2 linked regions of the Drosophila melanogaster genome follow. The protein of the gene in region 2 interacts with the protein of the main gene of each other region in a pairwise test. Each region holds a gene or a part of one and is shown on either strand. Other genes may lie near its edges.

Region 1 (4,510 bases), on a different chromosome or scaffold from region 2:
GGAACGGCGCTGCTGAGTGCCAAGGGGCAGCACGTAGCGGGAATGCGGATGCAATCCCAGTCCAAGCTCGTAGATGGGGCTGCGGGGCTCCTGGAGTTCATCCACAAGCGAAAGCAGAGTAGATAGCGACATTTTTACGTTTCCTTTAGGTTATGTTCCTTTTGCGAGATTGAAATATTTTTTCTTTGGTTAAGTTGAATGAACTTGTTTGACTTGTAAGCAAAGGTTTTTAATCCTTTTTTTTCTCGTTTGAAGTTTTGCTTTTGCGCAAAGTTGCTTTGAGTTGTTCACTGCTCGATTTTTGAATTCGATCTGTGCTCTGTTCGTCAAGCGACGCTGCTTTTATACCCGCTGGAGCTTTTCTAGAAGAGTCCGGAAAGTGACAGAAAAAGGAAAGAGTAGAGAGAGAGAAGAGAAGAGAGAGAACGTGCACAGAGAGAAAAAATTATGAATATAGCTTTGTATCGTTTGATAAACGAGGGATCAAATTAGAAATTTCTTTTATAAAAGTCTAAATTGAATGCTGCTCTAAAAACAAAAAATAAAACTAACTAACCTTTCCCAATAAATGCCATGAGTTTCGAGAAATTTTAAATGTAGTTGTTGTCGTACGCGCAAAAGCAGAGCTAGTGCGCCTGTATGAGTGAGAGAGCCGAAGTTTCTAGAGAGTTGTTGCAATTTTCTAGAAAGAGCGCAAAAGAAACAGCCGGCTAACGGCAAACAAAACAAAACGTCAGTTTTTTTTATTCTGGTTTTCCTCTTTATTAAGTACATTATTTCGTGTTTCTGTCTTTAAGTTTTACTGGAATACTTGTAGTTGTTGTCACATATGTTTTTTAGAAAATCATACATACATATAACGCCAGCAATCTCCCACTATTAGTAATTGAGTGCTTTTCCCGTCAGCTTTCTCGCTTCTTTTTTTTTGTGTGAAATGCAAGAAAAGAAAACACAAGAAACACGTATGGAATAAAACGCACGCCTACCCGTGCAGATTATTATTTGTTCTTAATTACTATTTATGTTCTTTCTTTTAGTTCAGTCTTCACTTGGCCAGTTCCTCGGTTTTGGCTGCAGTGGCTCCATTTTCGCCTTGGTTTTTGGCCAGTAGAATGGCCGCATCTACGGCTGCCAGTTCCTCGCCGCCCTTCTCCTCCACTTTCTCTACTTTATCAACCTTCTCCGCCTGCTCCTCTTTGCTGTCTTCCGTGGAGATTTCCGGTTTCTTGGCCAGCGGCATTTCCACATCCTCGGCTGCTGCGACTGCTCCATTGCCGTTATTCGAGGCAACGGGCACTTCGTTGGCATTTGCATCCTCTGCCTTTTGCTCCTCTTCGATGCTTATAACGGGATTGGGTGTGGGTTCATCCACATTGGCAGTCTCTTCGTTTTTGGCCAACGCCACTTCCATGGACTCTGATTCTGGTTCTGCAACGCCATTGTTGGCACTGGAAGTGGTTCCTGCGGTGGAAGGGGCTTCCACTGCAACAGCAGCGGCAGCAGCAGCCTCATTGGAAATGGGGGGCGAAACAGCCGGCATTTCCATCTCTGTCTCTTCCTGACCGTTGCCGTTGCTCTCGGCGAGAGTGAGCGAGAGCGAAGGAGTGGGTGTGGGTGCAGTCGGATTTAAAGTGGAAGTGGTGGCACTAGCTGCCGCCTGCTGCTCTACCTCTGACGGCTTTGGCGGCTGCGCATCCTTATCCTTCTGCTGCTGCGATATCTGCTGGATGTCTACGATGCGCTCCTGTCGTTCCAGGCTGCCTTTGACGACTGGAAGTGGTGGCGGCGCCTTCACCGTCAGAATGCCGTCCGAGGAGAGGGTCGAGTGCACCTCGTTGGGATCATAGCCCTTGGGCAGGATGTACTTGCGGATGAAGTGGCGCGAGATCACCCCGTGGCCATCCTCCTTCTCGTCGTGCTGACCCTCGACCACGATGCAGTTATCGATGGTCTTGACGGTCAGTTCGTTGGCGGCGAACTGCTTCACATTCATGCTCACCTGGAAGCCGTTCCTATTCACCACGGAGTAGGCGGATTTGCTGGCCGCCGGTTGGCCACTGGTGCTGCCGCTTGCCCCGGACGTGCCCTTATCGCCCAATTCCTTTTCCAGCTCCACCAGCGACTTATTGCAGCAAGCAGTCTTGGCTCCGGCCACACGATTGTACGGATGATGGCGATGCTGCGATGCCGCCGACTGACCCTTGATGGGCACCCACATCATTGCATTCCCACGCCCCAACCCACGACTCAGCTGTGGCAACTGTGAGGTGGCCTCCAGTGGATACAACCCGAATCCGGCCGAATCATCTATATCCATTGCCAGGCTGCGATTGAAATCGTGCAGCTCCTCGGCCAAATCTAGTATGAACGGTATCAGCGACATTTTCACTTTCTTCCTATCTGGCTAAGATATATCTTTTATTTTTTAGGTCTTGCGGGGATTGGTGTCGTCTGGGAACCGGCGGCGATCCGTTCTGGCCTCCAACTGGACTGCGTTTGAGCCCTTATGGCTGAATGTCGACGCTTTTAAGCGGCTGTGCAGCGCTGAATGGAAAACCTGGTCACTTCCAGTCGGCTTCCATGCCAGCTCCCAGGCGAAAAACTATGCAACTCCTCCAGAGAACTCACCAAGGGGAAGGGCTACCCATTAAAACAGTCAGTCAAGCCATGTACTATGCCATTTTCTGCTATATACACCGAAATAAGAGATACTTTTCCTCTACCGCAGATAGCCAGAGAACAAAGAAAGTACTCGTACTCGTAGTCGGCAAGAAACCAGACAAACCAAACTGCAACGTTGCAAAACCAAATAAAAAAGATACGTAAAAGAGGCAAACCGGCTTGAAATCGAAGCATATATGCACGAATATCCCCCCCAAGAGATGCCATCTTCCTTGTACCGGCGATATACATATATGTACTCATATATACAAATATCCATATAGACGGGGTATATGTAAAGTGGTCGTGTTGCAGCTGAATTCCCACTGCCGGCATTGAGCGAACAGCTGAGAGTCTGAGTCTCGTGCCGGTTGCCGATGCGGATTCGAGTCGCCGGCGATAAACAACTACAACAACAGCTGGCTGGCTGGCTGGCTGGCAGGGCCGCCTGGAAGCTACAAATCCGCTGTTGCCAGAGCTGGAGGATTGGCAAGCCGGCGTCGCGTAAACATGCGCAGTGACAGCGTCTGGGGCAACCCATACATATGGTATCTCCATATACATTTGTATCTACATACATACATACATACCCTGCCACACAGATGATGATGATATTGCTGGATTCGTATGTGGTTACATAGCCAAGTGCAAGCGATGGCAACCGGTTGAAAAGCTCCAAAATGCAAAAAACAACAACAACACCAACAACATCCAGACGGGGGCCAGACAGTGGAGACTTTGCTAAAAATTTACTGGGGCCCCGAACTCAGCTGCGGGATACAATTCTGTATGGCCATATATTATATTATATAGTATGTTTGTATTGATATGGTGTATCTGCCAGCTGCAGTCGGAAAAGAGCAAAAACCTTCAGAGATTGCTGCGTACGAGATGCCCCCTTGTACATACGATACATTCCCCATGTACATACACACTGGGTACTTGCTCCCATTTACCTAACCAAGGGGAAGAAATCCGCCGGACGAGCATGCTCGCACATTATGTGGCCACCTTTTTGAATAGACAACTTCCACTGCGTTGGCGTTGGATTGTCCAAGCCCTGGGCACCAAGAGTACTCTACTTCAGTGGAGGAGGAGTGGTGACAAGAAAATGGGGCCATAAATAAAAACTCGAATTATATAACAACCAGAGATTGAGTTCTATAGCAATGCCCATGTATTATATGGTTATTCAATCGCTACTGTAACAACAAATTGTAAACAAATTGTCATTTGATTTGGTTATTACGAAGTAATTCTGAATTCTAAACAATGTGTATATAAGCTGAATATTTATCAAGTTGTACCAAGCAAATGTGCAGCTAAATCTTACATACATACATATGTATTTGTCTTAAGAAATTGGTCAAATATAATAAAAGGTTACAGCCTCGTTTTCAATAAACCAAATATTGACTATTAGAATTTATTAAATGTTTTTAATGTTTTTTGGTTTATGTTTTCATCTATCGACCTTTGAAATTCAAAATAGTTGCATTACATTTTATTCAAATAATTTTTACATCCTTCGAATCCTTTATTGTATGAATGTACATATGTTCCAAATCGTATCATTTTTACATTTTCTTACTGATTGGAGTAATAATACGCTTACATCCCATGGGTTATTACCTACCCGGCATTAACCACTTATGTATTTTAATTAGATTTCCCCACTACAGAGCCCCATTCTTGGATATTAATTAAAGTTAATAGCTTAAATGCCAGGCCATAAAAAGAAGAACTGTTCTGCAGTCTCGAAGTTTCGCGAATTTACTCCATCCTTCGTGGAATATACTCCAACCTTCCTATCTGCTATGTATGTACATACATACGTGCTTACATACGT
Region 2 (5,483 bases):
GGCACCAGACCTGCCGCATGATCTACAGGTCCGGCCTGCTGCCCGGGATGATGTGCGCAGGACGCCTGCAGGGCGGCACCGATTCTTGTCAAGGCGACTCCGGCGGACCGTTGGTGCACGAGGGCCGTCTGGTGGGTGTGGTCTCCTGGGGCTACGGATGCGCAGAGCCGGGACTGCCGGGAGTCTACGTGGACGTGGAGTACTACCGCCAGTGGATAGAGGGACGCAGCGGGGCTCCCCATTCCAGGCTGGCTACCGGACTGTTCCTACTCCTGCTCCTGCCCCTGCTGATGCGGTGCTCGGGGTCGTGGCTATAGCCACCATTTCGGCATCCATGCCAGTGCTTTAGTCTATGTAGTAACTATGTTCTAAACAAAATATTCATAATACACATTCACGTACAATGTAGCGACAGCTCTGAATCTAAGAGCTACCGTATGCAAACCTATGTATGTATCTATCTTTCGAATCACTTTTGGTACCTCGAATGCCATTCCGCAGCTATCAGTTATCTACAATCTACAAATCTGGACGGTTTCGAAAGAGTCGGATAATTACAACGACCTCTTCGTATCTTGTCGTGCAATGAAACGCTTTCCACTCAACAATCAACATTTATTTACAGCGAAACACACTTAGATTCGGAAACACGAGTCAAGGAACAAAGCAGGGTGACTTGGCCACGGGCATGGCACCTAACAGTTGCGGCAGTTGCGCCGCGAGCAGGGCTCCTCTCGCCGATCGTGGAGGCGCACCAGGTCCTCCGGCTGACCGTAGGCGATGTTCGGCAGGCATCGCGACTGGGTCAGTAGCAGGGAGAACTCGCGGTTGCAGGCCGCGTTCTCGATCCGCTCCATGACCCGGCCAACCAGCAGCTCCACGGCCTCCTTGACGTTGGCGCCGGTGCAGGCGCTCGTCTCGATGTACGGCAGCCGGTAGCGTCGGCAGAGGGCCGCCACCTGGTCGCGACTCACCACGCGCAGCTGCAGCAGGTCGCACTTGTTGCCGCAGAGGACCACGTCGGGGTCCTCGGAGTAGGCGTGCGTCCGCAGCTGCGACAGCCAGTTGGCCGTCTCCAGGAAGCTCTTCTCGCTGGTCAGGTCGAAGATGAGCAGGAAACCCATGGCGTCGCGGTAAAACGCCGTGGTTAGTGAACGGAAGCGCTCCTGTCCGGCGGTGTCCCAGATCTGCAGGTGGATGCGGTGGCGGCGTCCGCGGGAGTTGTACAGCTGAAGGATGCAAAAAAAAGTGATGGGTCACTAGGGTTCGGAAATGATAGTGATGTGGTTGCAAAATCCTCGTGACTCTCAAACCGACTTCACTAGGATTGTGTTGGCTATGTTAGGTGAGTCCCATGAAAAGGATCACAGGATGATTAGCCGCTTGAACTTACCAGCCGCTTTTCGCGGAAGTCGATGCCCACAGTGGAGATGAACTGGGTGTGGAACCGGCCATCCGTGTACTGGTAGAGGAGACAGGTCTTTCCCACGCCGGAGTCGCCCAGGACGAGGAACTTGAGCAGGTAATCGTAGTCGATGTTGGCGCCCGTCATAATGGCCGTTCGTAGCAGCGCGTTTGGAACGTTCAGGACCGCAGACGCATCCCGTCCGCCTGGAAGCAGGGAAACGAATGAGCTGCCCGTTCCTGTACAGCTCTCCCAAGCAATGGTTGTCCCCCAGCTACCAGCTTCCTGCCTCCTGCCCCTGCTGTCTATCCACTCGCCACTCTTCCTCCTCTTTTGTGTAAGACCGGGCTTAGGCTGACAGGAGCGGAGGCGGGGCACTCTAATCGGGAGGCATCTTCGTGAGCGTGGCTCCCACCCACTGCCAGCTGCCACCCCCATAATGCGACCCACTTACCCACACCACACCATCTCGCTGCACCGTGGCAAATATTTGAAACTCATTAAATCCCGATTTATTGATTTTCTGTCCCGTTCCGGGCGAAATTCGGGCGTGTGGAGTGGGTTCGATGGGTCGCGATGGCGGGGAATCCCTTTCGCCCGCTTCCGCATCAATGGACAAGCCGATCGAGATTTCGAGCATTCCCGCTGGAAGCGGCGCCCAACGGTATGTCGCTCGGCAGAACAGAGAGAGATGACAAGGGGCAGTAGAAAAGTGGAAAGTGGCTGGAGCATAGGAAGGCTAACCCCGCCCCTGCCCCGCTAATTAGACCAACGGCCAACGCTCAAAATGACGCGATGCGGTGGGCAGGAGGAGAGAACGTGCAGCATCTCTGCACCCTGGCTTCCTTCCCGCGCTAAGCGGATTACGGTCGCTGCCTGCGGTTGAAGTGGTTGCTAGACAACGGGGCCTCCGTCACTGGAAAGTAACAACAGAGATCGAAGTAATAACTGGGACCGCGCTCCCAGTGCGCCTTCTGCGCATCCCGAATCCGGCAGCACTCAATGGAATCCTGCCTGCTGATGTCTTGTAATCTAATTTCCTCCCGTTTCCGGCAGCTGTCTCACGTCTCCGGCCCCTATTTCCGAATCCGCTGCCTCGCAGAGGGAGCACGCATAGGTTACAGTCGTCTGCTGCTCGCCAAGTCTCCCAGGGGGAGATGGTAGGCGGGTGGACAGTGGTTGGTGGGCAAATCGAATTAGCATGCACGCACAGCCATAGCCATCCCACTCGGCTGACGGTTAATTTTAAACCTTTATTGATTCGCAAGATCTTGCGGGGCTCAGGTGGGCCTAGCGACGGAAATAGCCTCCCGTTTCCGGGGGTGGTGTTCAACATGAGGGGGGTGGGCTAAGGCGAGTGATGGCAATTAGGAGCAAACCACAAGGCCTCCACTCAAGGACGTCCTCCCAGCTTCCTTCCGCCCTTTCAGCGCGTCCAGCTGCACTAGGACAAGGACGGCTTCCAATTAAAGCTAGACCGCAGTGCCGTAATTAGCTGCAGCTGCCGCGTTTCTGCCGAGCGATTAAACATAGCCACCGCCACCTTAGCCCCTTAGTTCCTCAGCTCACCTGTTCACCGGATCCGGCTAATTGCAGAGGCTCAGGCTCAGGAGGCGCGGCACGCATTTCTGCTCCGACGCCCGCCGTCGACTTTGGCGCCCAAGGCGGCTTCTTTCGGCACGCCGCACGCCACTCGTCACTCCAAGGATCTGGAAGGAATCTGCGATTCAGCTGACTGGACCAGACTGACTGGGCGGGCAACCGTTATTTTTAGCGCGCGCAATTCGTCCGCGCGGGGGAAGGGACCTTCAACCACCTTGCAGAGGTTTGCTAAACGAAAACAAGCGACCCACGAGGACTTCGAAAACTCCGAGGCTGTGCGGATGCTGCGGATGCAACGCAGTGGATCCTCTGGGCGGTGCGCTGCCCGACCTGTTGCCATGCGCTGCCCAGCACAGACTACAGGGCTCGTTGGCCGCCAACAGGCAGTCCCTTTTCCGAGGCTCAGCTTTCAGCCAAAGCTTGCGCCAGCTTTCAAGCGCTTCCGCGCGCGACAGGTGCGCCGCACAGGTGTCCTTTCCCACGGGAACGTGGTTATTTCGTGAGTACTTCGAAGCACTCTCGAGACATAATCCCTCGGGCAACTTTAAGAATGGAACGGCTTTGGACGGAGCTTCCGCGGGACGGCGCCTAAGCTTTGCTCTCCGACGAAGGCTTCAAAGTCAGGAGTGTATCCCGTGCTCGAATAGTCCACTGTTTCTATAATCCTAGTGTTCAGCAATCAAATTTCGTGTTACTAAATAACACTGAGCCACATTTTTCAGTAAATTGAAGTTTGCGCGCGCAGAGCTATCGATAAGTATCGCGAGATAAACCAGTGCTGTAAAGCGCCGCCATTTAATTGCACTTATCGAGTTTCTTGCGGGCTCGGGATTTGCTTTGTTTTTTTTTTTTGAATCGGTGCGGAAACTTCTCGGTTGAGGTTTTATTCTCTATTTACTGGCCATGGACAACGCAAGCTCAACTTTTGGCCAGTCGGACTTCGACTGGGACGCCATCAACGTGGGTGACTACCAGTTGGATCACTCCCAGAACTTTTTCGGTGCGTATCCAGGCCACCGCGTCCAAGCTGAGAAAACGCGCCATTTTTGGCCGACCATTGCTGACCATTTCCCGCATTTCCCAGCAGCACGGGCCAACAAGGAGAACAACAGGAGCCTCAGCAATGTTAACCCCCTCCTGCTGTGCACCACTCCGCAGAAGATCGGCCGGGAACAGCGCGATGGTGACTTCGATGGCAAGCTGATTAGTGCTGGGGATCTCAAGAAGGAGTCCCCCAAAGACACGACAGAGGCGTCCAAGGATGCACTCACTATCAAGCCCAAAGTTGAGCCCCACGATGTGCCAGAACTCAAGTTGAAAACAGAGCTCCAGGAGCTGGCTCAAGTGTCCCCACTTGACAACGGCCCAGAGCCGCAGGACGACATCAAACAAATTGTTCCGCTCAACTGGGGCAAGGATGGGGACGATGATGAGAAGCACATGACGGAGGCCGATCAGCACTTGGTCCACCAGGAACGTCCTCCCGGCGTCGGGGCCAAGCTCCGCCTGGAGTGGTCACCCCCACGCCACCGCGAGCACGAGGGAGCCGGCGCCTCTGCCACATCCGCCGCCCCCAAGGCATACCAGTTCAAGGACGTGTACGAGAGCAAGCGGCAGCAGGCGATGCGCAAGCGCTCCGAGGAGGAAAGCAAGGCGCGCCAGTTCCACAGCCGACCCATGCCCAACTTTAAGGCCATGCACAAGCGCATGAACGAGCTGGCAGTCATCCACAAAATCACCGTCCCGCGCACGCCCGAGACGCTCAAGCACAGCCAGTCGAACGTGGAGCGGCGTCGCGACGACGATCCGGCCGACCAGGCGCGACTGCATCCGGCTGGTACCCGCTCCAGACCCTTCCACCTGCGCAGCGAGCAGCGCGTGCGCGACCGACGCGAGTTCGACGCCGCCGTGCAGGTCAGCCTGGAGCAGAAGAAGAAGGAGGTAAAGACTAAATCTAGTAGCCCTTAAGCATTGGTTCCGAACACAAGCAGATAATTTTCGAGCTCAGGGCCGGAATTTCATTTATGTGATTTATGTGATGTGTGCTGCTGGTTTAGGTGGTTTCTTAGCAACTGACCGTGTGTTTAGTCATTAACTTGAAGAGGCTTAGTTGTTCCTACATTTTTTCAGAATATATTGTTTAATCCAATGTAATAAACCATTTGCAAATGACCCCCCTTCGAGGGCTCAGTGTAAGCACCGTTCGTTAAGTTCAAAAAGTGCGTTCCCACCGCCACGGGGAGTTTTCCAACACCAGCGCGCCGGCATTTAGCTGCGATCCGCGAGCGGCCACACTGCGCTCGAAAAATAACGTATTTCTCCAAGTATTGCTGCCAGCCCCAAAACCTCTCCTGTGCCCAAACACGAGACCCAAATTCAAGGGCCGTACGGCAACTATCCAAGAACGCCCCAGTTCTCCAGTGCAGCAGCCCCAGGTCGGGAATCCGACGCTCGACAAACAATAACACGGGCGGTG

The links.
Region 1: the proteins of Rab27 (region 2) and Hsp67Ba interact in a two-hybrid assay, tested with the Drosophila melanogaster proteins (one large-scale study listed by BioGRID).

Annotation. Positions count from the first base shown.
Region 1 is NT_037436.4:9,377,057-9,381,566, forward strand, and holds Hsp67Ba (heat shock gene 67Ba), read right to left. Parts: upstream 2,479-4,510; 5' UTR 2,384-2,478; coding exon 1,046-2,383; 3' UTR 746-1,045; downstream 1-745. Other genes in the region: Hsp26 (heat shock protein 26), read right to left, coding at 1-132.
Region 2 is NC_004354.4:1,473,282-1,478,764, forward strand, and holds Rab27 (Rab27), read right to left. Parts: upstream 3,694-5,483; 5' UTR 3,032-3,693; coding exon 2,975-3,031; intron 1,612-2,974; exon of another isoform or gene 1,553-1,611; coding exon of another isoform or gene 1,514-1,552; coding exon 1,394-1,513; intron 1,230-1,393; coding exon 696-1,229; 3' UTR 603-695; downstream 1-602. Other genes in the region: CG14780 (uncharacterized protein), read left to right, coding at 1-317; mei-38 (meiotic 38), read left to right, coding at 3,911-4,007, 4,095-4,948.